Oryzias latipes: one gene and its partner. The protein of the gene in region 2 purifies or fractionates together with the protein of the main gene of each other region. This does not show direct contact. Links are inferred from orthologs where the notes say so. Each region holds a gene or a part of one and is shown on either strand. Other genes may lie near its edges. The genes, in order: wdr59 and cytosolic arginine sensor for mTORC1 subunit 1.

Evidence for each region.
Region 1: the proteins of cytosolic arginine sensor for mTORC1 subunit 1 (region 2) and wdr59 purify together in Homo sapiens (affinity purification with mass spectrometry; 3 studies listed by BioGRID and IntAct, counting the BioPlex papers as one, with this or other methods). This does not show direct contact. The link is inferred for Oryzias latipes from reciprocal best matches to the Homo sapiens genes CASTOR1 and WDR59.

The regions. Positions count from the first base shown.
Region 1 is NC_019861.2:37,924,605-37,936,026, forward strand, and holds the start of wdr59 (GATOR complex protein WDR59), read right to left. Parts: upstream 9,921-11,422; 5' UTR 9,807-9,920; coding exon 9,753-9,806; intron 6,819-9,752; coding exon 6,769-6,818; intron 6,659-6,768; coding exon 6,523-6,658; intron 6,286-6,522; coding exon 6,200-6,285; intron 6,125-6,199; coding exon 6,044-6,124; intron 5,957-6,043; coding exon 5,919-5,956; intron 5,843-5,918; coding exon 5,754-5,842; intron 5,552-5,753; coding exon 5,435-5,551; intron 5,357-5,434; coding exon 5,279-5,356; intron 5,123-5,278; coding exon 4,966-5,122; intron 1-4,965. Other genes in the region: RNA-binding protein NOB1, read left to right, coding at 10,542-10,610, 10,744-10,876, 11,263-11,422. UniProt on the Homo sapiens protein: As a component of the GATOR2 complex, functions as an activator of the amino acid-sensing branch of the mTORC1 signaling pathway. The GATOR2 complex indirectly activates mTORC1 through the inhibition of the GATOR1 subcomplex.
Region 2 is NC_019867.2:3,163,017-3,173,929, forward strand, and holds part of cytosolic arginine sensor for mTORC1 subunit 1, read right to left. Parts: intron 10,817-10,913; coding exon 10,623-10,816; intron 10,310-10,622; coding exon 10,174-10,309; intron 8,803-10,173; coding exon 8,679-8,802; intron 8,396-8,678; coding exon 8,288-8,395; intron 8,087-8,287; coding exon 8,004-8,086; intron 7,743-8,003; coding exon 7,648-7,742; intron 1-7,647. UniProt on the Homo sapiens protein: Functions as an intracellular arginine sensor within the amino acid-sensing branch of the TORC1 signaling pathway. As a homodimer or a heterodimer with CASTOR2, binds and inhibits the GATOR subcomplex GATOR2 and thereby mTORC1.

The DNA of each region.
Region 1 (11,422 bases), on a different chromosome or scaffold from region 2:
TTAGCGTTAGCCGTAGTGTTTAGCGTTAGCCGTAGTGTTTAGCGTTAGCCGTAGTGTTTAGCGTTAGCCGTAGTGTTTAGCGTTAGCCGTAGTGTTTAGCGTTAGCCGTAGTGTTTAGCGTTAGCCGTAGTGTTTAGCGTTAGCAGATAGCGTTTAGCGTTAGCCGTAGTGTTTAGCGTTAGCCGTAGTGTTTAGCGTTAGTAGATAGTGTTTAGCGTTAGCAGATAGTGTTTAGCACTAGCCGTAGTGTTTAGAGTTAGCCATAGTGTTTAGCGTTAGCAGTAGTGTTTAGCGTTAGCCGTAGTGTTTAGCGATAGCCGTAGTGTTTAGCATTAGCAGATAGTGTTTAGAGTTAGCCGTAGTGTTTAACGTTAGCCGTAGTGTTTAACGTTAGCCGTAGTGTTTAGCGTTAGCCGTAGTGTTTAGCGTTAGCCGTAGTGTTTAGCGTTAGCAGATAGTGTTTAGCGTTAGCAGATAGTGTTTAGCGTTAGCAGATAGTGTTTAGCGTTAGCTGTAGTGTTTAGCGTTAGCCGTAGTGTTAAGCGTTAGCATATAGTGTTTAGCGTTAGCCGTAGTGTTAAGCGTTAGCCGTAGTGTTTAGCGTTAGCAGATAGTGTTTAGCGTTAGCCGTAGTATTTAGCGTTAGCCGTAGTGTTTAGCGTTAGCCGTAGTGTTTAGCGTTAGCCGTAGTGTTTAACGATAGCCGTAGTGTTTAGCGTTAGCCGTAGTGTTTAGCGTTAGCATATGGTGTTTAGCGTTAGCAGATAGTGTTTAGCACTAGCCGTAGTGTTTAGCATTAGCAGATAGTGTTTAGCGTTAGCCGTAGTGTTTAGCGTTAGCAGATAGTGTTTAGCGTTAGCAGATAGTGTTTAGCGTTAGCAGATAGTGTTTAGCGTTAGCCGTAGTGTTTAGCGTTAGCCGTAGTGTTTAGCGTTAGCCGATAGTGTTTAGCGTTAGCCGTAGTGTTTAGTATTAGCAGATAGTGTTTAGCGTTAGCAGATAGTGTTTAGCGTTAGCCGTAGTGTTTAGCGTTAGCAGATAGTGTTTAGCGTTAGCAGATAGTGTTTAGCACTAGCCGTAGTGTTTAGCATTAGCAGATAGTGTTTATCGTTAGCTGATAGTGTTTAGCGTTAGCCGTAGTGTTTGGCGTTAGCAGATAGTGTTTAGCGTTAGCCGTAGTGTTTAGCGTTAGCCGTAGTGTTTAGCGTTAGCCGTAGTGTTTAGCGTTAGCCGTAGTGTTTAGCGTTAGCAGATAGTGTTTAGCGTTAGCAGATAGTGTTTAGCGTTAGCAGATAGTGTTTAGCGTTAGCCGTAGTGTTTAGCGTTAGCCGTAGTGTTTAGCGTTAGCCGTAGTGTCTAGCGTTAGCCGTAGTGTTTAGCGTTAGCCGTAGTGTTTAGCGTTAGCCGTGGTGTTTAGCATTAGCAGATAGTGTTTAGCGTTAGCCGTAGTGTTTAGCGTTATCCGTAGTGTTTAGCGTTAGCCGTAGTGTTTAGCGTTAGCAGATAGTGTTTAGCGTTAGCAGATAGTGTTTAGCGTTAGCCGTAGTGTTAAGCGTTAGCCGTAGTGTTTAGCGTTAGCCGTAGTGTTTAGCGTTAGCAGATAGTGTTTAGCATTAGCAGTAGTGTTTAGCGTTAGCAAATAGTTTTTAGCATTAGCAGTAGTGTTTAGCGTTAGCCGTAGTGTTTAGCATTAGCCGTAGTGTTTAGCGTTAGCCGTAGTGTTTAGCATTAGCCGTAGTGTTTAGCGTTAGCAAATAGTTTTTAGCATTAGCAGTAGTGTTTAGCGTTAGCCGTAGTGTTTAGCGTTAGCCGTAGTGTTTAGCGTTAGCCGTAGTGTTTAGCGTTAGCCGTAGTGTTTAGCGTTAGCCGTAGTGTTTAGCGTTAGCCGTAGTGTTTAGCATTAGCCGTAGTGTTAAGCGTTAGCCGTAGTGTTTAGCATTAGCAGTAGTGTTTAGCGTTAGCCGTAGTGTTTAGCATTAGCCGTAGTGTTTAGCGTTAGCCGTAGTGTTAAGCGTTAGCCGTAGTGTTTAGCGTTAGCCGTAGTGTTTAGCGTTAGCAGATAGTGTTTAGCTTTAGCAGTAGTGTTTAGCGTTAGCAAATAGTTTTTAGCATTAGCAGTAGTGTTTAGCGTTAGCCGTAGTGTTTAGCATTAGCTGTAGTGTTTAGCGTTAGCCGTAGTGTTTAGCATTAGCCGTAGTGTTTAGCGTTAGCAAATAGTTTTTAGCATTAGCAGTAGTGTTTAGCGTTAGCCGTAGTGTTTAGCGTTAGCAGATAGTGTTTAGAGTTAGCCGTAGTGTTTAACGTTAGCCGTAGTGTTTAACGTTAGCCGTAGTGTTTAGCGTTAGCCGTAGTGTTTAGCGTTAGCAGATAGTGTTTAGCGTTAGCTGTAGTGTTTAGCGTTAGCCGTAGTGTTAAGCGTTAGCATATAGTGTTTAGCGTTAGCCGTAGTGTTAAGCGTTAGCCGTAGTGTTTAGCGTTAGCAGATAGTGTTTAGCGTTAGCCGTAGTATTTAGCGTTAGCCGTAGTGTTTAGCATTAGCCGTAGTGTTTAGCGTTAGCCGTAGTGTTTAGCGATAGCCGTAGTGTTTAGCGTTAGCCGTAGTGTTTAGCGTTAGCCGTAGTGTTTAGCGTTAGCAGATGGTGTTTAGCGTTAGCAGATAGTGTTTAGCACTAGCCGTAGTGTTTAGCATTAGCATATAGTGTTTAGCGTTAGCCGTAGTGTTTAGCGTTAGCAGATAGTGTTTAGCGTTAGCAGATAGTGTTTAGCGTTAGCAGATAGTGTTTAGCGTTAGCAGATAGTGTTTAGCGTTAGCCGTAGTGTTTAGTATTAGCAGATAGTGTTTAGCGTTAGCAGATAGTGTTTAGAGTTAGCAGATAGTGTTTAGCGTTAGCCGTAGTGTTTAGCGTTAGCAGATAGTGTTTAGCACTAGCCGTAGTGTTTAGCATTAGCAGATAGTGTTTAGCGTTAGCCGTAGTGTTTAGCATTAGCCGTAGTGTTTAGCGTTAGCCGTAGTGTTTAGCGTTAGCCGTAGTGTTTAGAGTTAGCAGATAGTGTTTAGCGTTAGCCGTAGTGTTTAGCGTTAGCAGATAGTGTTTAGCACTAGCCGTAGTGTTTAGCATTAGCAGATAGTGTTTAGCGTTAGCCGTAGTGTTTAGCATTAGCCGTAGTGTTTAGCGTTAGCAGATAGTGTTTAGCGTTAGCAGATAGTGTTTAGCGTTAGCAGATAGTGTTTAGCGTTAGCAGATAGTGTTTAGCGTTAGCAGATAGTGTTTAGCATTAGCAGTAGTGTTTAGCGTTAGCAAATAGTTTTTAGCATTAGCAGTAGTGTTTACCGTTAGCCGTAGTGTTTAGCATTAGCCGTAGTGTTTAGCGTTAGCAGATAGTGTTTAGCGTTAGCAGATAGTGTTTAGCGTTAGCAGATAGTGTTTAGCGTTAGCAGATAGTGTTTAGCGTTAGCAGATAGTGTTTAGCATTAGCAGTAGTGTTTAGCGTTAGCAAATAGTTTTTAGCATTAGCAGTAGTGTTTACCGTTAGCCGTAGTGTTTAGCATTAGCCGTAGTGTTTAGCGTTAGCCGTAGTGTTTAGCGTTAGCAAATAGTTTTTAGCATTAGCAGTAGTGTTTAGCGTTAGCCGTAGTGTTTAGCATTAGCCGTAGTGTTTAGCGTTAGCCGTAGTGTTTAGCTTTAGCCGTAGTGTTAAGCGTTAGCCGTAGTGTTAAGCGTTAGCCGTAGTGTTTAGCGTTAGCCGTAGTGTTTAGCGTTAGCCGTAGTGTTTAGCGTTAGCCGTAGTGTTTAGCGTCAGCCGTAGTGTTTAGCATTAGCCGTAGTGTTAAGCGTTAGCCGTAGTGTTTAGCATTAGCAGTAGTGTTTAGCATTAGCAGATAGTGTTTAGCATTAGCCGTAGTGATGCAGCCCTTCCAGCCTGTCAGAACTAGGGTTCGCTTTGAGGGTTTGCTTTTTTCATTTTATTTCCCAACTAATGACTAATCCGCGATGATCCAGTATAAACTGAGGGAAGTGACTTTAACAAAAAAGTAACAAACAAAATAGAAAAGAAGTAGTCCGCTCCGCGGACTTACAGCTTTGTGTTTGATGGGAAGGGGGGGGGGGGGGGGTACATGAGCGGTATGTGTGGGAGATTTAAGACTGCGATCCGTCCCGCAGCTCTAGGGGTACATGCAACCGAACTCAGAACCGGGTCTAAAAGTGTGTGTCTGAGCACAGCTCGGATCGTCAGCACACACAGCGGTTTGAGCTTCAAAGCAGAAATGTCGCTCAGTCCTTAGAAAACATTCAAAAAATCACGCGGATTTGTGTTTCCAGTCGTGTCCCGACTAAATAAAGGCTGATGTTATTCTTACACGTTTACATGCAGCCAGCAAGCAGCACCACCCAAAGCTAATGTTGTTAGCCCGTGTTAGCATACTGCTAATCCTGGCTACGTTCAGAAAAAGCACTGACCACACGGATTAAAATTCAAATGATGAGCGAACAGGTGTTTCATAATAACCGTAACATTATTAAAAGCAGGTTTAGAAGATCGTCTCGTATATTACCGAGCTGGCATGTCAATGTATATAATAAAGTTTGAAAAAAAAAAAGCCGCTCGGCGGAATTTATATCCTTCCGGTTTTCAAACCCTACTGCGCATGTGCGAATGATTTATTCCGACGGAAAGTGTGACCTTAGTGAACGTTTTTATATTCTGAAAACATTTTTCTGGGCCCATTTACACGGTTGGATTCTAATCTGACCATTGATCCCATCAAGATATTTTGTACATGTAACCGCGGCTTATGGTGTCGACGCGCAACGTGGCGGGGGCGTGGCATCACGATGGTGGTCTCTCCATCGGGATGTCAGTCACCCATCACGATGGACGATGATATCGTCCATCGGCACAACCCTAGTCAGAACCACATTTGGTTGCTGCTCGTCTGCCGCTGGGGGGTCATCAGGGCGTCACCTGCTTTCTGCGGCCTCCACTGGAACTCTAGAACCACGTCGTCATGTCCGACGAAGGCGTGCACGGGGCTGTTCAGGTCGAGCGTGCTCCACAGCAGCAGGCTGTTCTCCCTCCGGAGCTGAGGAACCATCACGGTGACCAGCCCGTTGGAGAACGGCTGCAAACGGAGGGAAGCCGCTCATTCAGCTCGTTCAAACTTTTTTACACCTTTCTCTTTTTCTTAATCGCATTTTTAGATATCTGTCAGAAAAGATGCGTCTTTTTCCTGGACTTCCTGTGTTTGGGTTCCTCTCATGAGGTTCTCTGGACTAACCGTGTAGCGGGCTTTCCACACCGGTACCTGGCAGGACAGGATGTTCAGGTACTTCCTGGGCTGTCGGAAATCCCAGAACTGCACACAAAGTCAGCATTATTGCTCTCTGTGTCCTCAGGAGAACGGGTTCCGGTCTGGACGGGCGGCAGGTCTCACCCTCACGGAGTTGTCCTGACTGGACGTGGCGAAGACAAACTCGCCGTCCGGATGCCAGTCCAGGCCGTGGATCTTGGACAGGTGAGCGGCCACGTACTCCACCGCCGTGTTGGGCTTCTGTTCAGAGGAGACACCAGAAAGAGGAGCCAGCAGGAGTCACGGGGGGAAAAGACGCTAACGAGGTCAAAGGTGAACTAGCTCAAGTTCAGCGATTTCCTTCTGATTTGAATGAGCAGATGAGGGAACATTAGACTCCGCCCCTTTCTTCATCTTTCAGGCTGCAGGAAAACAAAAGGTTTGGACCTTCAGCCAGACTCACTCTTTTATCCCAGATCCGAACATCTCCGTCGTGGCTGGAGGCCAGCAGGTTCTGGTTCTTCCGGTTCCACTTCACCTGAGACGCCCCGGCTGCAGAACACAGACATCCGTTCAGAGACAGACCCGAGACCGACCCGGTTCAGGTCAAGCATCCAGATTCTCTCACCGACAGCAGACAGCGCCACCGTGGGTTTACGGGCGTCTCTGCAGAGAAGCAGGCAGAATTAGGGGGAGGGGGGGTCAGGGTCAGATTAAGGTGTGTGTGTGTGGGGGGGGGGGGGTCCCACTGACCTGGTGTCCCAGATGTAGATGTACGTGTCCACAGAGCTGGTGACCAGGAGCTCCGGGTCGAACCAGGACCAGTCCAGATCACTGAGGACACAAACGGGCCAGAGTGAGACCGACCCGGTTCACCTGCAGACAGGTGCATCTGCGTCACCGCTCTACCTGATGACGCGGGTGTGTCCCTGCAGGGAGGAGTGGGCCTCGCCACAGCCGTCCCTCCAGGAGTACAAGTCCACCCGCTGGTTACTCTGGAGCACAAACACACACAGGGTTCAACAGAGATGGCGTCTGGAGTGGACAGCTTTGTCTGATGAACACAGGAGAACCTGAACGCCTCGTTTATGGTCGACACACAGAATCTCTGCTCTTCCATCAGAACCACTCCGCTCCTTTGTTCTAACAGAACCTGCTGCTTCACATGCGCATCTCCCTCATTTTCAGCTCTCTGGGTTTCTGATCATGTGACCTTGAACAGCAGAACTCACCGAGGCAGCGAAGATGTGGGCCTCCGAGCCGTGGGGGTTCCACTGGACCGTCCCCACGTCCCATTTACTGTGGCGCCCGATTTTACGCGGTGGTTCCGACGGCGCCTCCAGATCCACCAAGTAGAGGAAGCGGCGGCTGCAGGTCAAAACAACAACTCCCATCATGCAACATTCTAGATCAGACCCACTAAACTGAGCTGTGACGGTGCGTTCAGGTTACGATGCGTTCAGGTGACGGCGGCTTACCCGGACAGAACAGCGTGAGAACCCAGGCAGTCCACAGACATGGCTGTGGCCTGAAACAGAGAACAGGCTGCACCGTTACCGCGGCGACGGGGTGCAGACTCTAAACGCACAGCTACACAGCACACACTAACAAACACACACGCATGAGGACAACACTCCTGTCATGTGACGCTGAAACCCCAGCAGGAAAATCAACTATAATATTATCAAAATCAATTTATAATATTATGGGATGTAAACCAATGCATAGATCATAGAGTCTACATTTTTATCATTCTACTATAATATTTTGATTATGAAAAGATGAATTCCAAACAGTTTCAGCCTCATTTTCACAGAAAACAAACATTCAGAATTTCTTTAAGGATAAAACTGGTTCAGTATTTTAAAAGTCACTTCTGTAGATTTATGTAGGACAGGATTTGAGAAAATGGGATTCTCTGATGTCATCATTCTGCAGCACCGTTTTTATTGGAGAAGAAAAAGTTCACAAAATGTCTCAAAAATTGTTTGAATGTTTTTAATCACAAAACTGAATTTCTTCACCGCAAAGCGGAGCTTTATTGTGAAATATGTTTGCTCGTTCAGCCTTTCTTCCTGTAGGAACAGGAACGGTTCCTCCAGTGTTAGTGTGGGAAACTGATGTAGAAACATTTCAGCTCAGCGTTCATCTGAACAGGCCCTGATAAAACACGGAGTACTTAGGAATATGAAAGATCAGAAATACTTTACAGTTTCTGCTTTTTCACTTTTGGATGCTGGTGTGAGATTTTTATCAAGGACAAAGTGTAACTTGACTCAAACAAGGTGGAAAAACACTGAGTTACTCTATTACATTATTTTAAGGGTTACTCCATTACTTACTTTTATGAGTTACTATACTACTTTATTTTATGAGTTACTCTATTACTTTATTTTACGAGTTACTTCATTACTTTTTTAAGAGTTACTCTATTACTTTCTTTTAAGAGTTACTCTATTACTTTTTAAGAGTTACTCTATTACTTTTTAAGAGTTACTCTATTACTTTTTTAAGAGTTACTCTATTACTTTCTTTTAAGAGTTACTCTATTACTTACTTTAAAGAGTTACTCTATTACTTTATTTTAAGAGTTACTCTATTACTTTCTTTCAAGAGTTACTCTATTACTTTCTTTCAAGAGTTACTCTATTACTTTCTTTCAAGAGTTCCTCCCAAACAGTCACATCTCTGCAGCCAAATGCTGTCTGACATCATTCTATCACATCTTTACACATAGTCCATGTTTCCTCTGCAGTAACTAAAGCCTAATATTCGACTTTTTACAACAATCTTACAGCTGTGTGGATATTTATGGGCTGTAGTAAATACTTCATCAGTTTTCCGCTTCGTCCAGAAGCTTCAGAGAATCGATCCATCCACTCTAATACTTTCAGAATTTGGTCTTCATTTTGTTAAGAACAGCGTCTGCTGACTAGTTTATTCCTGATATCGTCTGGAAAACGTGTTTTCCTACTAAAGTTTTGGATCAAGAACAGCTCAGCTGCTGGGATCAGGGGGGTATTCCAGGAAGCATGTTTAAACTAGCCTGACTTTAAGCCTGAACTCTGGCTGAAATCCGCCTGAACTTGCTTACTCTGGGTATGTCGGTTCCAAAAGACCGGATATGAGTTGGCGTAATTACGCTCGACTTGGTAACCCTGGGTTAACGCACGGTACATAAAGACATTCTCAATAGATCGCCGATTTCTGGAGTCACCATGGAAACGCGTGGAGAAAAAAAAAGAAAGCGCGACACTTGAGACGGAGTCTGAGATTTTAATGACGGCGGATAGAAATTATAAGTCCATCAAAAAAGTAACACGGCTGAAAGATAATTTAGTTAAATTTATTCAAACTCAATAATTGTTTATACAACTCAAATTTACGTATTTATCTAACTAAATGTCACATTACTCCATTAATCTTTTTTCCATCTTAATTACTTATATTTCTTGAACTTTCATATGTCTAAGTTTGAGCCGGCAGATATGCTCATTTTTATAACAATAAAAAGAAACGGAAAAAAATGCACCGAGTGCAAAAACTCACTAAAGAATTTCCCGTCACTGTCATAACAGTACTTAGCTGTAGGGGTGCTAAATAAACTCATCATCCTCTCCTTCACTCTCACTCATGGTGCAGAGACGTAAGCATAGTAGGACAAATTGGCTCGGCCAAACACGAAGAAACACAGTAAAACAGCTATACAACTAAAACATTTGGTCAAAAAGCCACACTTTAACCCAAATCCGTCCAGACAGGCAAAGGGAATGATTTCCCACAATCCCTTGCGGTGCCGATCTAACAGCAGCATCAAAGTTACACCTACTTAATTGAATTAATTTGAACGAAAGGAAAATAACTGTCTGAAAACTACGTGTTATTTTTAACAAAAAAATTTCTAACAAAAAAAATGATTTATCTTAACTGAAGCAAATAATGAAGTTAGATCAAAGTATAAAGTTTATCTTTCCAACATCCATTTGTGGTCTTATCACCCTCTCATGGTGGAAAAAGTATTATCTGAGCTTCTTCATCCACTAAATCCTCTTCAAATGGACACGCCATGCTGCTTCACCTCTCTGAAAACAAACTAACCTTCAACTAAACCTGCTCCAGACCAGGTTACGTTCAGAGCATGAGTTGCCATGGTAACTTGACCTACCCTGAAACATACCTCCATTTCTGGAACCAAAAGCTGAGGTTATCAACTTCCTTAGCCTCAAACTTATCGTGGGAGCTAGCATAACCTGCTTTCTGGAATACCCCCCAGCAGTAGAGGAGAGAATAATTACTAAACACAAAAAAGCGGCTTCAAAGAAACCGCCTGCCGTTCAGTCCAGACCACGTGACAAACGTATTTCTACTTTAACAAACGGATAAAATGTGACAAAATTGTCAGCAAATCTGTTCTAAAGTCAGAGAAAAACAAAGAAACGTCAGATAAAGACCAAAGCGACACCTGAGCGTCCCGGAACTCCACCACCACATTCTCGCTGCTCCAGCGCGCCGCCATCTTCCTTCCCTGTCAACAAATGTCACGTGACCCGAAGGAGCCGGATGTAGAAAAAACCAACAACACAAGCATATCAGGTTTAAGGATTCCCCCTAAAAAGATGTGCATGGATTAATAAACACGTGAAAAACCTGAAACAGTAAATGTTTATTTTTTGGTTAAATCAATTAATCTTTATGTTTTCGTTCATTTTGGCTTTTATGTTTTTATTCATTTATTTATTAAATTTGACTTTATTTTGTTAAGCTTTTAATGTACAGAGTTTTATTTAGATTTAATTGTGTTAAACTGCTCTATAAATAAACTTGATGAGGAATCTTTTTCCTGATCAACCTTTTTTAATTTTCTCACTTCAATCTAGAATAATGTTAACGTTCTAATTATACACAATCTCAGAAATAAATTCCTGAAATTTCCTTTTGTTTTTGCTTAGATCTGTGGAAATCTTCACATTTCCACAACTGCAAAACATTTTTATTTCTAAATAAAAATACAGTTTAACTTGAAAAAACATTTTAAAATTTTTCGTCAAAGCTGAACAATATTTGAAATTGCAAAACAATTCGGTGATTTTAAATACTGAATTCTCCGAAGAGGCAGTGAAGGCATCACCATGGTAATCAAAGCCGGTCACGTGGAAGCCAACCTCACTTTCCCAGTGCGCTTGAAAGCTCGAGGCACGTGACAGCCGTCTGCCCTGTGATTGGTCGTTGATGTGGCTGCTCGTTTACCAAGATGGCGCCGACCCTGGTGGAGCATGTTGTCGCTGACGCCGGTGCGTTTCTGAAGAGAGCACCTCTACAGGTGAGAACACGTGATCCGCGGACAGGTGAGAGGGTGTGCAGGTATTTGGGAGATGCCGCGAGACCGGAATGTGGGTGTGGGGGGTGGGGGGGCATCGGCGTGTCCGGATCTGAGGCCCTGATCTGTGATCCAGGAGATCGGAGCGAACATCTACACGCTGCGGGATGTGGTGGACGAGATCCGGGACAAAGAGACCCGGAGGAGCCTGGCTGTGCTGCCGTACCAGCTGCACTTCAGGGAGCCGCATCCGGAGCACGTCAGACACGGTGACACCTGAACGCACCACGCGCGCACCAAAACATGGCACTTTACTCAGCTGTAACCATTACACAGACCGCACCTGAACGCACCACGCGCACCAAAACATGGCACTGACCCCGCCCCTTTCGACCGTTGTCATGGAGATTAATGCTGAGTGTGAAATTTTTGAGGCTTTGAATTTTTTCACCTCCATGATGAAAAATTTTATCAGAGGTCATCTGCCATGAAGGAGGCAGATGACCTCTGACCTCTGGTGTCCTCTCTGACCACGCCCACTGACCGCTCCGTTGGTCAGTGGTGCAGATTGACAGCTGTTGGGCTGCTGCTCAGCTGGGGGACATTTTCTGAGCTGGCTGGGTTTGTTGATTCTTTCCCGTCTGACGTTCTCCAGTGACCGAGTTCTCCAAGAAGACCGGCGACTACCCGAGTCTGTCCGCCACCGACATCCGCGTTCTGGCTCTGACCTACCAGCTGCAGCTGGAGCACGAGGGGGCGGAGCACCTGAGGGAGGAGCCGCTGCTGCAGGTGAACATCCAGAGCACGCCGCGCCA
Region 2 (10,913 bases):
GCAAACAGATGCGATCACAGACTATCACTTCTGCAGATAAGATGAATTCTCTAGCTTCAATCTTTGGTCTTCGCTTTAAATTCCAGACCCTTTAGTGAGATGAGCTCATCGACAAACGGATGTTCAGGCTTAACATAAACAGAACGCTATCAGAGGAAGCCACAGACTCACTCATGAAAAGCCTTTGTGGGAGGAAAGTGGGAGATATTCACAAGTGTAAAAAAAATCCTCAAAGATTCTTTGTGATGACGCTCACCTTCACTTGGCTGACCTCAAGCAAATCCCAGTGACCGCCGTGTGATCTAATGTGAACAGTGTACACGAGGCAAACTGTTAACACACCAGATCCCACCAAAGACCCGCCGTTAGAAACTAACAAGCTCAGTCTTTGGGTCATTTTTAAAAGCATTTGCTCGTCCCGCAGAAACATGGACACGGACTCGCCCACCGTATCAGTTCTTAACAAAAAATATTAAATTGGAATTGAAGCAGCTTCAAAGACCCGTTAAAAATAGGGTTTTTGGTGTTTTTAACATGTTCTTGTGTCCTTTTTCTGATTGCATTTCTTAGTATTTATTCAAGTTGTTGTGAATCAGGAGCAGAAAAAAAAATATTGCTTGAAAAAGATCGTATTTGTGAAAATATAGAAAAGGGGGGCCACAAACTCCGCAATGGGGGAGGGGGCAGGCCCACACCAATGGTCCCGCCCACAACTAGGAGGTACCTTTCTAATGACCTCCTGAACTGTGTCATAGAAAACGGCTGTTTTTTTATTTTTACCAAAAACCCCATAATCATAATTAAAAGACCACCAGATGATGGGAGTCAGACTTTAACAACCTATGAGCATATAAAGCGATCATTACTGGAAAAAAAAATCTTCAAGAGGAAGGAAAAACTTTGCCACAAATTTGCATTTGAACAAATTTGCCAAATGCCCTTGGTTAACTACCGTCTACAAAATGCTTGTAAAAAGAAAATAACCTCTATAAGAATTTCTTAAAACAGAGGACATAAGATATAAGTCATATAAAAATAAACTAACTTAAATAACATGGCACTGTAAAAAAGTTTACTTTAATAATCTACTGAATGAAAATAAAAACAACGTAAAGCGAGTTTGGGAAATATTAAATAACGTCATTAAAAATGGGACAAAAAGCCAAACATATCCAGAGTTCTTTACAGATGAGAAGGGTCAAAGCTTTAACATCAATGAAGCAGCAAACAGTCTCAATAACTATTTTGTAAACGTGGGTCCAGAGTTGGCAGCGGAAATTCCAAAATGCAAAACCAGCAAAGACAATAATCCACTCATCGAAAGGATCCCACACTCAATCTTTCTCTCTGATGTGAACCAAAATGAGCTGATATCAATTGTAGATAAATTCAAGAGTAACAACTCCAAAGATTGTGAAGATATAGATATGAAGGTGGTGAAAAAGGTAATTATTAGTATCTCTAAGCCTTTAACAGACATGTAACTTATCATTACAAACTGGGAGATTCCCAAACCAAATGAAAATTGCAAAAGTGATTCCGATCTATAAGAGTGGAGACAAACACCAATTTACAAACTATAGACCTGTCTCTCTTCTTCCACAATTCAATCATTTTAGAAAAAATATTGACAAATATAACTTTATAAATGAAAACTATCAGCTATCATTGATGCTGTGGAGGAAATCACAAATGCTCTGGACAAAAAGAAATATGCAGCTGGAATTTTCATTGACTTAAAAAAAGCATTTAACACTCTCAACCATGACATCCTACTTGACAAACTGGAAATGTATGGGATAAGAGGAATAGCGCTAACTTGGGTCAAAAGCTATTTAACGGGAAGAAAACAATTTGTCAAGATGAATCAGAAACCAAAGAGATAAGTTGTGGTGTCCCACAAGGATCAATCCTGGGCCCGCTACTATTCAATATTTACATAAATCTTCTTTTTCTTTCGGCTTTTCCCATCAGGGGTCGCAACAGCGAAACAACCACTCTTTCGAATATAAGTTGCATGGTTAACTTGGCAATGTTTTATGCCGGATGCCCTTCCTGATGCAACCCTCTCAATTTATCCGGGCTTGGGACCGGCACAGAAGCAGAGAAGGGAACACGGAGCAACCCGGATTCGAACCCTGGTTCCGCGGACGGAAGGCGCCGCAAACCAGCACGAGCTAAACTGGCTCCCAGGTATTCAATATTTACATAAATGATATGTATTTAATGTTTCAAAGCTTATGAAACTCACTTTGTTTGCTGATGACACAAACATATTCTATTGTACACATAATCATATGGAACTTATCAATGTGGTAAACACAGAGTTAAACAAAATAAAATTATGGATGGATTACAACATATTATCTTTGAACCTAGATAAAACCAAAGTGATGTTTTTTGGAAACGCAAATAAAGAGCTCTCAATTGAAATAAATAATATCTTAATTGAAAGTGTTACAGAAATCCAATTCTTAGGGGTTGTTATCGATGACAAACTAAAGTCTCAATAAGTATTTCAATCGTAAATAAATCTAAATTATATTAGAATACAACAGTAGATATTTATTGTACTGTTCTTTAATACTACCATATTTCACCTACTGTATAGAAATTTGGGGGAATAATTTTAAGCGCTCACTACATCCTCTCTTTCTACTTCAAAAACGTCAGAGTTGTACATAAAGCCGGATATCTTGATCAAATAAACAATTTATGTTATCAATCTAGACTTTTAAAACTGTATGACCTTGTGGATTTTTACACTGCACAACTTTTATACAGAGCCAGTGGGAAATCGTTACCATTCAATATCCAAAAACAGTTCTTAGAAAATGAAGGAGGAACAAACTGAGGGGATGTAGGAACTTTAAGATCAAACTGATAAGAACCACTAAGAAAAGTTTCTGTGTGTCGGTGTGTGGCACTAAACTTTTGAACGGGTCAAGTAATGAGCTTAAACAATGTTCAAATATCCAAATATTCTATAGTGTTTATGTAAAATAATTCTAACATCTTCAGAGCTATTGAGGATTTTTGACCAAATCTGATCCATTTGTAAATATGAAAAATTCCTGAAAATAAACAAATTGAAATATTGACATATTCTTTATTTTAGTATGACAATAAGTTCATGATTAGACCGTCCAGAAGGTTTGGTGACAGTAGCTTCAGTATCTTCATAACTATTGATAACTTTAGTCATGATTCATATCTATTAAAATTTGAAAAAGTATATGCAACAAGATAAAATAAAGATGGACCTTCCGACAAAATATTTATTGTGACACGAATATACTGACGAGTCTTCATTACCAGTTCATATAAATATAGAAATTTATTCTTTTTTGTGAGATTATTGATTTTTACAGAATGGTGTTTCACAGAGTTTGCACTTTGTTGACGGTCCCTTGGCTTGCTGCCCTTTCTGCATTCACAGCTTGAAGCAAACAATTCTGATTAACAGGCAAAAAAAAAAGAAGGTCTTTTTACTTTAGAAATGCATTTGCGGTTCACTCTCTGAGTTAATACAAAAGGATTGAGATACTTGCTGACACATTTGAACGTTTATCAGAAGAGTTATTGAGGCCGGAAGTCCTAATCTGTGAAGATCTTTCTAACTTTATCAAACCTCAGCTGCAAGAGAATTTAAAATGATGAATCCATGGTTCGCAAGTGAGACTCTGGAAAACCAACTCCGACAAGACAAGAAGACGCAGCAGCAGCTGAGTTTCCGCGGAAAAGGAAAGGCCTGTGTTGGAAGATCGACTCGAGGCTGAGCGCAGCAACTTCCAGCAGATGACAGTGAAAAGCTGTCCATCCTCCCCCCTTTTACTGGGACGCAGCGCCGGCGAGTTACGCCACACTTTGGGACTGCAACTAAAGCTGGGGCTGACGCGTCTGCTTTCACTGTTCTTTGGAGCCGCACGGCAACGAGACGGACTCTGACGATGACGTAGCTGGAAGCTGGTGTGTTTGATAGAAATTAAGCCCAGCTGACTTTGATGGATTTGTGGATGCTGATTGATGACTGAAAAAATGAAAAATAAATCACAACCAACTCAGTTTTGCGCTCGCTGCCTTTTTAAAACACACACCAGCATGCATGTTTTACTGGTATGTGTTAACGTTAAATACAAAAAAAAAAACACCCATAACTAACTGAAACAGTGCAGTTTAATCCAGTGCCGTTGTATTGTAAGGAGAGGAGTGTGTTATGGGAAATAATATGGCTTTAATTGCGTGTTTGTGTTTCTGGCAGGTCAGTGCGTGGTGTGACTCTTTGACTATCACAGTTAAAAATGTCGGCTCTTTGTGTCAAACTTGTTCGCCACCCCTTGTTAGTGTTAGAGGCTTTAAAAAAAAGGCGGATGTAACGTGGATTAAAACCTTAACCAACGACCCAAGACCAAGGTAAGAAAGTGCGGCTGGTTTTTTTGTGCTGCAAGTTTTTCTCATGTGTAAATCACTGCATTTGTTACCGTTTTAATCCTTTTAATCCACGTTACAGTCTTTTCTATTAAAGCCCCTAAAAGAAAGTCCTGCCTCGCTGGACATGACATGTAAATTTTAGCTAATCAGATCAACCAGAAAGGTTACTGCCCCCAAGTGACAAAAACGGCCCCTTAACACTGAGCGTAAATCCTGGTGAGGGCGCAAAAAGGAACTGACCACGCAGGATCCCCGCTCAGTGATTTGTTTTTTTTTGTTTTTTTAACTTGTCCTGTCCAACAGCTAGGCAGGCAGATGAGAGCTGAGGGCCTCTTGTGTTGGAAATATTTTACTTTAACAAGAGGGGTTATTAATCTTCAGACAAACCAAAGGTATGTCTGAATAAACCCCTTTTGTAATTGAGGCCAAACTTTATTAATTTCAATCATGTTTGAAAATCTTTGGTGTTGGACCGGACGGAAAAGGAAAGAGGGGAAGAAGAGAGAGGGACGTCAGAGAGAGGGGGGGGGTAGGGGGTGATAATAGGGGGGAGGGGGGGTAAGACCATGAAGCAGCATAAAGCAACAAGTTTACTGGTTGTTTATCATTACGGTACGGTTCAAATGTAGTACAAAAAGGGCGGGGCCTGTCCACACACACACTCAAATGTTATCAACACACCTGCTTGCTGCAAAAATGTCCACCTGTCGACAAGTCAACATGTACACAAAACAGACAGTGCCCGCACGCACACCCATGCCCCAAAACCAACTAGTGTGAAACACCTCACCCATTCCATCACGCAAACCACTAGTGCAAAGGCGAGCCAACACCCGCGCCCAGGCGAGCGCCCACGCTCCTCCAAAATGGATGGTGGAATGCGAAAAGAAGGAGGGAGAGCCCCGCTCAGTTATAATTGCAGGCCTGCAGTTGTAAAATGCTGGGTCGCTCGGGTAGTATTGCGCCTCCGCGGTTGTAAGGTTCACTCAATCACTTCCTGAATACGCCCGCTCAGTTGTCTTTACGCCCTTTTACTTTATGGCAGAGATGAAACGCCATACACACCGTCACAGCTCTATTCCAAACAGTGCCTGTGATGCGGCAGTAACACGGCAGCAATAAGGGAGTAACAGCACTAACAGGGCTGGTTAAACAAACATACCGGTAAAAGTCACTGAGAGCAGCAGTAACTTATACGGGTCTGCACGGCACGCGCCTTCTGTGCACTAAAACCATGGAAGTCTTCCTCCTCAGTGTAGGATTGGAACTTTAACTTGAAAATAAGCCGCAGGGTTGAAAGCGTGTGACAAAAATAGCGGTTTATAATCCGGAAATTATGATAAATATGTCAGAATGGTCGCTTAATGTGTGTATTTTTACTGGATGTTCGAAAAAAATAAATAAATGTTTTGAATTACCACCCATTTTTAAAACAGCAGACCAGAGTCAGCAAAACAACAAATAATGTCACTTGAAACTATGTCACACTCAAACTTTTTTATGTCAACTTCCTGGTTAACTTCAGCAGTAAACAAAACAAACATTGTTGATTTGGGCCTTTGACAAGAAATCCTGAACATGCTTTCATGACATTTTGTATTCTATTTTTATTCTAATCTATTTAATCCATTTTATTCTCTGAACATATTTCAGTAAACTGAACCTCGGTCTTCATCCACACTTAATAAGAGATTTATTTACTTCCCGTGTTTAGTTTATGTCTTTAAAATCCAACATTATTCTCCATTTTGGAGTGATAATTACATAGCATTAAGTGCCTTTCTACAACACTCCATTAGATCAAACTTCTCTTTTTTTTCAGCTAAAACCGATGCGTTTCAGTGGTAAGGCCCTCAGATTAGAGTCATTTCAAGACAACGTTGTGGGCAGAAGATGCCAGTTGTGACGGAGAACACCTTCAGAAACCACAATCAGAAAAAGGAAACCAACCATCCATCACGTAAGAATCATTAAAAGACCTTTTACTGAAGCAGTGTAGACTCCAGCAACCTACTTTTTTATGTCGACTGGATTGTGTTAAAAACAGAATGATAACAATAATAATAATTTATTTATAATGCAGCTTTCATTAAACATTACCTCAAAGTGCTACAACAAGATGTGAGAAAAAAAAGAACACTAAATAAAAATTAGCCAACTAAACAAAGCTAACTAAAAGCTAAAAAACTAGCACTTAACAATAAGGGTGTGACGGTAACCGCATCACCGTGGTGATGTTTGCTTTTTAATTTTTTTTTTTTTTTTAGTTCTGCATATGGTGCGTGATTGGAACTATAATCAACACATTTAACACATTCATCTTTGCTGATAATTCACTTTTTCTACTAGTCCTATGTGTTCAGACTTCAAAGGTTTCTGGGGGAAACTTTTCATTACTGTTCTCCTTCACTCCGTAACACCAAACATGAACACGCACTGTTAGAGTGCGATAAACATCACTACATGTTTTGTTTGGAAACTATTTTGTGCAGCGCAACGTTACGTGTCCGTATAAACAAAGGCGGAGCCTCCTGCCCCGCCTTCTTCATGGGTGTCAGGCTCACGGCTACTGGAAAGGTGACAAAGTGTCTGCTGTTTGGTATATTACTGGGCAATATATAATATTCTGAGAAGATGTCTGTACCAGAGAGCACAGGTGAAGCCTCGCGTGCAGCTGGAGAGCGATCCGCTGCAGAAGAATCAACACGCACCCCCAACACACTTGTGTGCGCTCCTTCCTCCAACACACGCAGCACGCTGACACACATACACAGTCATTGTACAACACCTATATGGTTAGTTCATTAGGTAGATAGGTAGTAGTGAGTTGTTACTGTTGTTTGTTAATAAAGAATACTGCGTTGTAATTGTATTCATTTGCGACGCGGCCACCGGGGGATTTTGTGTTTGGCGGTTAATCGCGACACCGCGCCCCCTGCTGGTTCATCACATCAAAAATCCCACACCGTCACAGCTCTACTTATTAAAGAGATGCCTTCAAAAGAGCTTTAAAAGAGTTCAGGGTCTGCGATGTTCTGAGATGTAAAGGAATGGAATCATTAAGACGGTGATGAAGCATGAAGAAATGTGTGTTTGGTTTTATCTTTTGGCACTCCCTTAATCATCCAGATGGTTTTAAATTCCTGCGGTGAGTGTAAAGGAGTTTCTCCTGTTGAACGGCAAAGGTACAGGAGTGGCGGTTTGATGGAAACTCACCAAAACGTGGTCGAAGCTGAAGGTACTGATGTAATAGGCAGAGATGTCGCCGTCAGCGAGAGGCTGCGATATCTGGGCGACGATGCCGCATTCATCTGGAAAGATAACACAAAATGAAGGAAAACGATGTCAGAAGAACTGAAATGAAACCATTTTCTTTACTTGAATAATCCATAAGGCAAACAAATATGGATATTGCACAGCTTGATAAATTTGTGATATATTGTGCAGGCCTAAAGGTTTCAAAGAATGCAGGCTGGAAGGTTGGCCCTCAGAACAAAGTCCAGACATCTACAGGCAACAACAGGTCGGTGGAAACCCAGAGAGCTCAGAGTGGAAGACGAGGACTTTCTTACCAAAACCAAGTGGCTGTCCTCCGATCCGGACCATTCTCCAAAGCTCCCCGGAGGAGCTGGTGAACAGAAGATCAGAAGGAAACCTAGAGGAATGAGAGAGAGAAGCTCCACTTCAATCAAATACAATTGATCATGAAATAGTAGAGGTAGAAACACCGACTCGCTTCGAGAACTAGTTCTTTGTCCTGACAAAACTCCACCAAGACGCTTTTATGTGAGGACTCATCTCTTTGAAGGACTTCACAGCAGTTTGCCGTCAGGCAGGAGAAAGTGAAGAGCCTTACTGTCGCTGGGCCTCAGAGTCCATCACCAGGGAGATGTATCCATCGATGAGGGAGAAGGAGAAGAACTTGATGCAGTCCAGCTCCTGGTCTGGAGATTCTTCTTTCGGACTAAAGGAGGAGAGGAGGACTGTTAAACAGAAACCTTCTTTGGTGACCGTTAAAGAGCTTTGGTGACACATCCATGAGTGGAAAATCTTTCTTTCACTAGAATTGATGAATAAGGGCAGCATTATTTCCCACCAAAGACTTTTAGACAAGCGTCTCGATGACGGCATCTTTTTCTGCTGCCGCCACACTAACCACATCTGGGTTGGGGCTTAGCGACGGTCGCACTCCGCCATCCTGTGGCTCAGACAGGTACTGCACGGCTGTGGGGGACGCAGCGTCTCACCTGCTGGAGTAAAAGAGGACGTCGATGAGCGTGGTGGCGATGGACGGCAGTGTGTCCGGGTCCAGAGACATGACACAGAACTGGTTCGGGGGGATCAGCACCGGGTGAACTGTCAGTTGGATGGCTGCAAAGGAAAAGGACAGTTACAAGATCATTTCAAAATAAACGCCATCAAATAATATAAATATATCTTTGGATATCAAAAAGCATTTTTATGCTTAAAAATGACAATTTTAAGGATCTTTTAGAATATTGGAGTAAATTAAAGTGGTTTAAAGGGGAGTCATCGACTTTTTTTTTTTTTTTAACCAGAAATACAACAGTTTGTGTGTGTTTTAATGTAAATCCATTCTCTTTTAGATGCAATCACAAAAGCTGATTCTGACATAGAAATGCATGGTTTGAAAACACAGCAAACATACATGTTCTAACCTTTCCATTTGTTATTTTTAAAAATGTTTTGAAAATCGATGACGAAACATGAAGCAAAGACTGTGATGATGCATGTTTGAATGCAGACAGCTACCACTGATAAAATGTATCATATATGGAAATGCTGGAACTTCCAAAGTAACTTCGTCATGCTCACTTGGATAAGGAAGTTTTAGCAAGAAAAAAAAAAAGTAGGAGAAATCTAAAAAAAAAAAAGAAGAAAAAAAGTAGAAAAACTGCAATCCTTCCATGTTTCGTGTTATGACTTGACAAACTGCAGCCGGCTCAGATCTGGTCTGAGGAAGCTGCAGAAGAGGCATCAAGCCACTGAGGAGGCTTCTGCACAACATTGACAGCAACCAAAAAGAAATAAATGATTGAGCAGTCACACAATCTTTGTGCACCAGATTCTCTTTTCTACAGTTGTAGCTTTTGGAACTTCTACAGAGACCACACGAACTACACCTGCAGGAAAGAGCAGTTAGTTCCATGTCCGCACACATTTTTTATAACTGATTCTTCGATGGAAAGACCATTAACAACCTTTTACACACAGATTGCTCCCTTCCAGTCTAAAAGAAGTGTTCCCCTAATTCCTTTAAACCAACTATTGCAACAAAATAAAAGCATGTGATTCGTGCTCAGTGGCTCCAGTCTATGTGCTCAGTTCAGTTGTTTCTGTGCAACCCTTTGCTGCACAATTTGGCTCAAAAAGCTGAATATTATGAACACACAAAGTGATAAATATTTACTCAACTGTGTGCTTTTAAACCATCCATGCACTTTAAATGAAAGACTTTTAAAAACTTATTTTATTTTTCTTTCTAGAAAGGTTCAAACTTTTTTGCAAGCTTTAATCAAACCTCAATCTGGTAGTTTTAACATTGGTTTGGGGGGAGTTTAGGGAGGGCACAGAGAAGGGCTGACAGTGCTGTACAACCAATCAGGCACTTTCCTTGAATTTACATAAGTATTTGCGATTTCTGTTTACATTTTTTCCCAAAAACGTGTGGTCAGCTTCAAACGTTTTTCCCCAAAAATGCATCTGAACTGCATTGTGCACCTTCTTTGCTGTTCTTCTGAAGGTTGTGTGTCACATCCTGGCAACGCACGGGGACGGACTCTCCCTCCACCTCCTGGTAAATGCTGAATTCTTCCTTTAAGGTGCTGACAACCACAGACAGGTCTTTCTCTCTCACCTGTACCCCAATCATTTGAGAGGAAAATTTTAATTACAAAAGATCTGTTTAAAAAAACCAAAAACACTTGAGTTTAATCATTAAAGTGATTGCTGACACAGGCGTGCGATGCATTTTTGCCCACCTAACATTTCTTGCATGTAATACATCAACCAACTTTGGAGTGTTTGTCAGCTCTGCTGGGAATTAATTATGTAAAATGCAAACACGGTGAATTCCTTTGTCTGGCAGCAGCTGAAAGACCGTCTGGAGGCATCAAAGGAAAAGTCTTCTGAATTAATTTTAAAAAAAGGAGGAAGAGGAGGTCTCTCACCAGGATGAAGTCAGTCTGATATGTGGACAGCATGAATACAGAGACGTGCTGTTGGGCCAGGGGAGCGATGACCGACTTGGCAATCTTGGTCACGCCGACCGCCTGGGAGCTGCTGGAGACGTTGCCGTTGGAGACCACGTTGAGTGGCAGCCAGGTGGAGCTCTCAACCTGGAGGTGCTCTGAGGGCTGCAGCTCTGAGGAAGAAGACATCAGTGGCCCAAAGTCAAACCCGTGCCGTGTATCTGAATGGTTTACATTCTAAAAAAAAATGCACTTAAAATACCAGCAGGG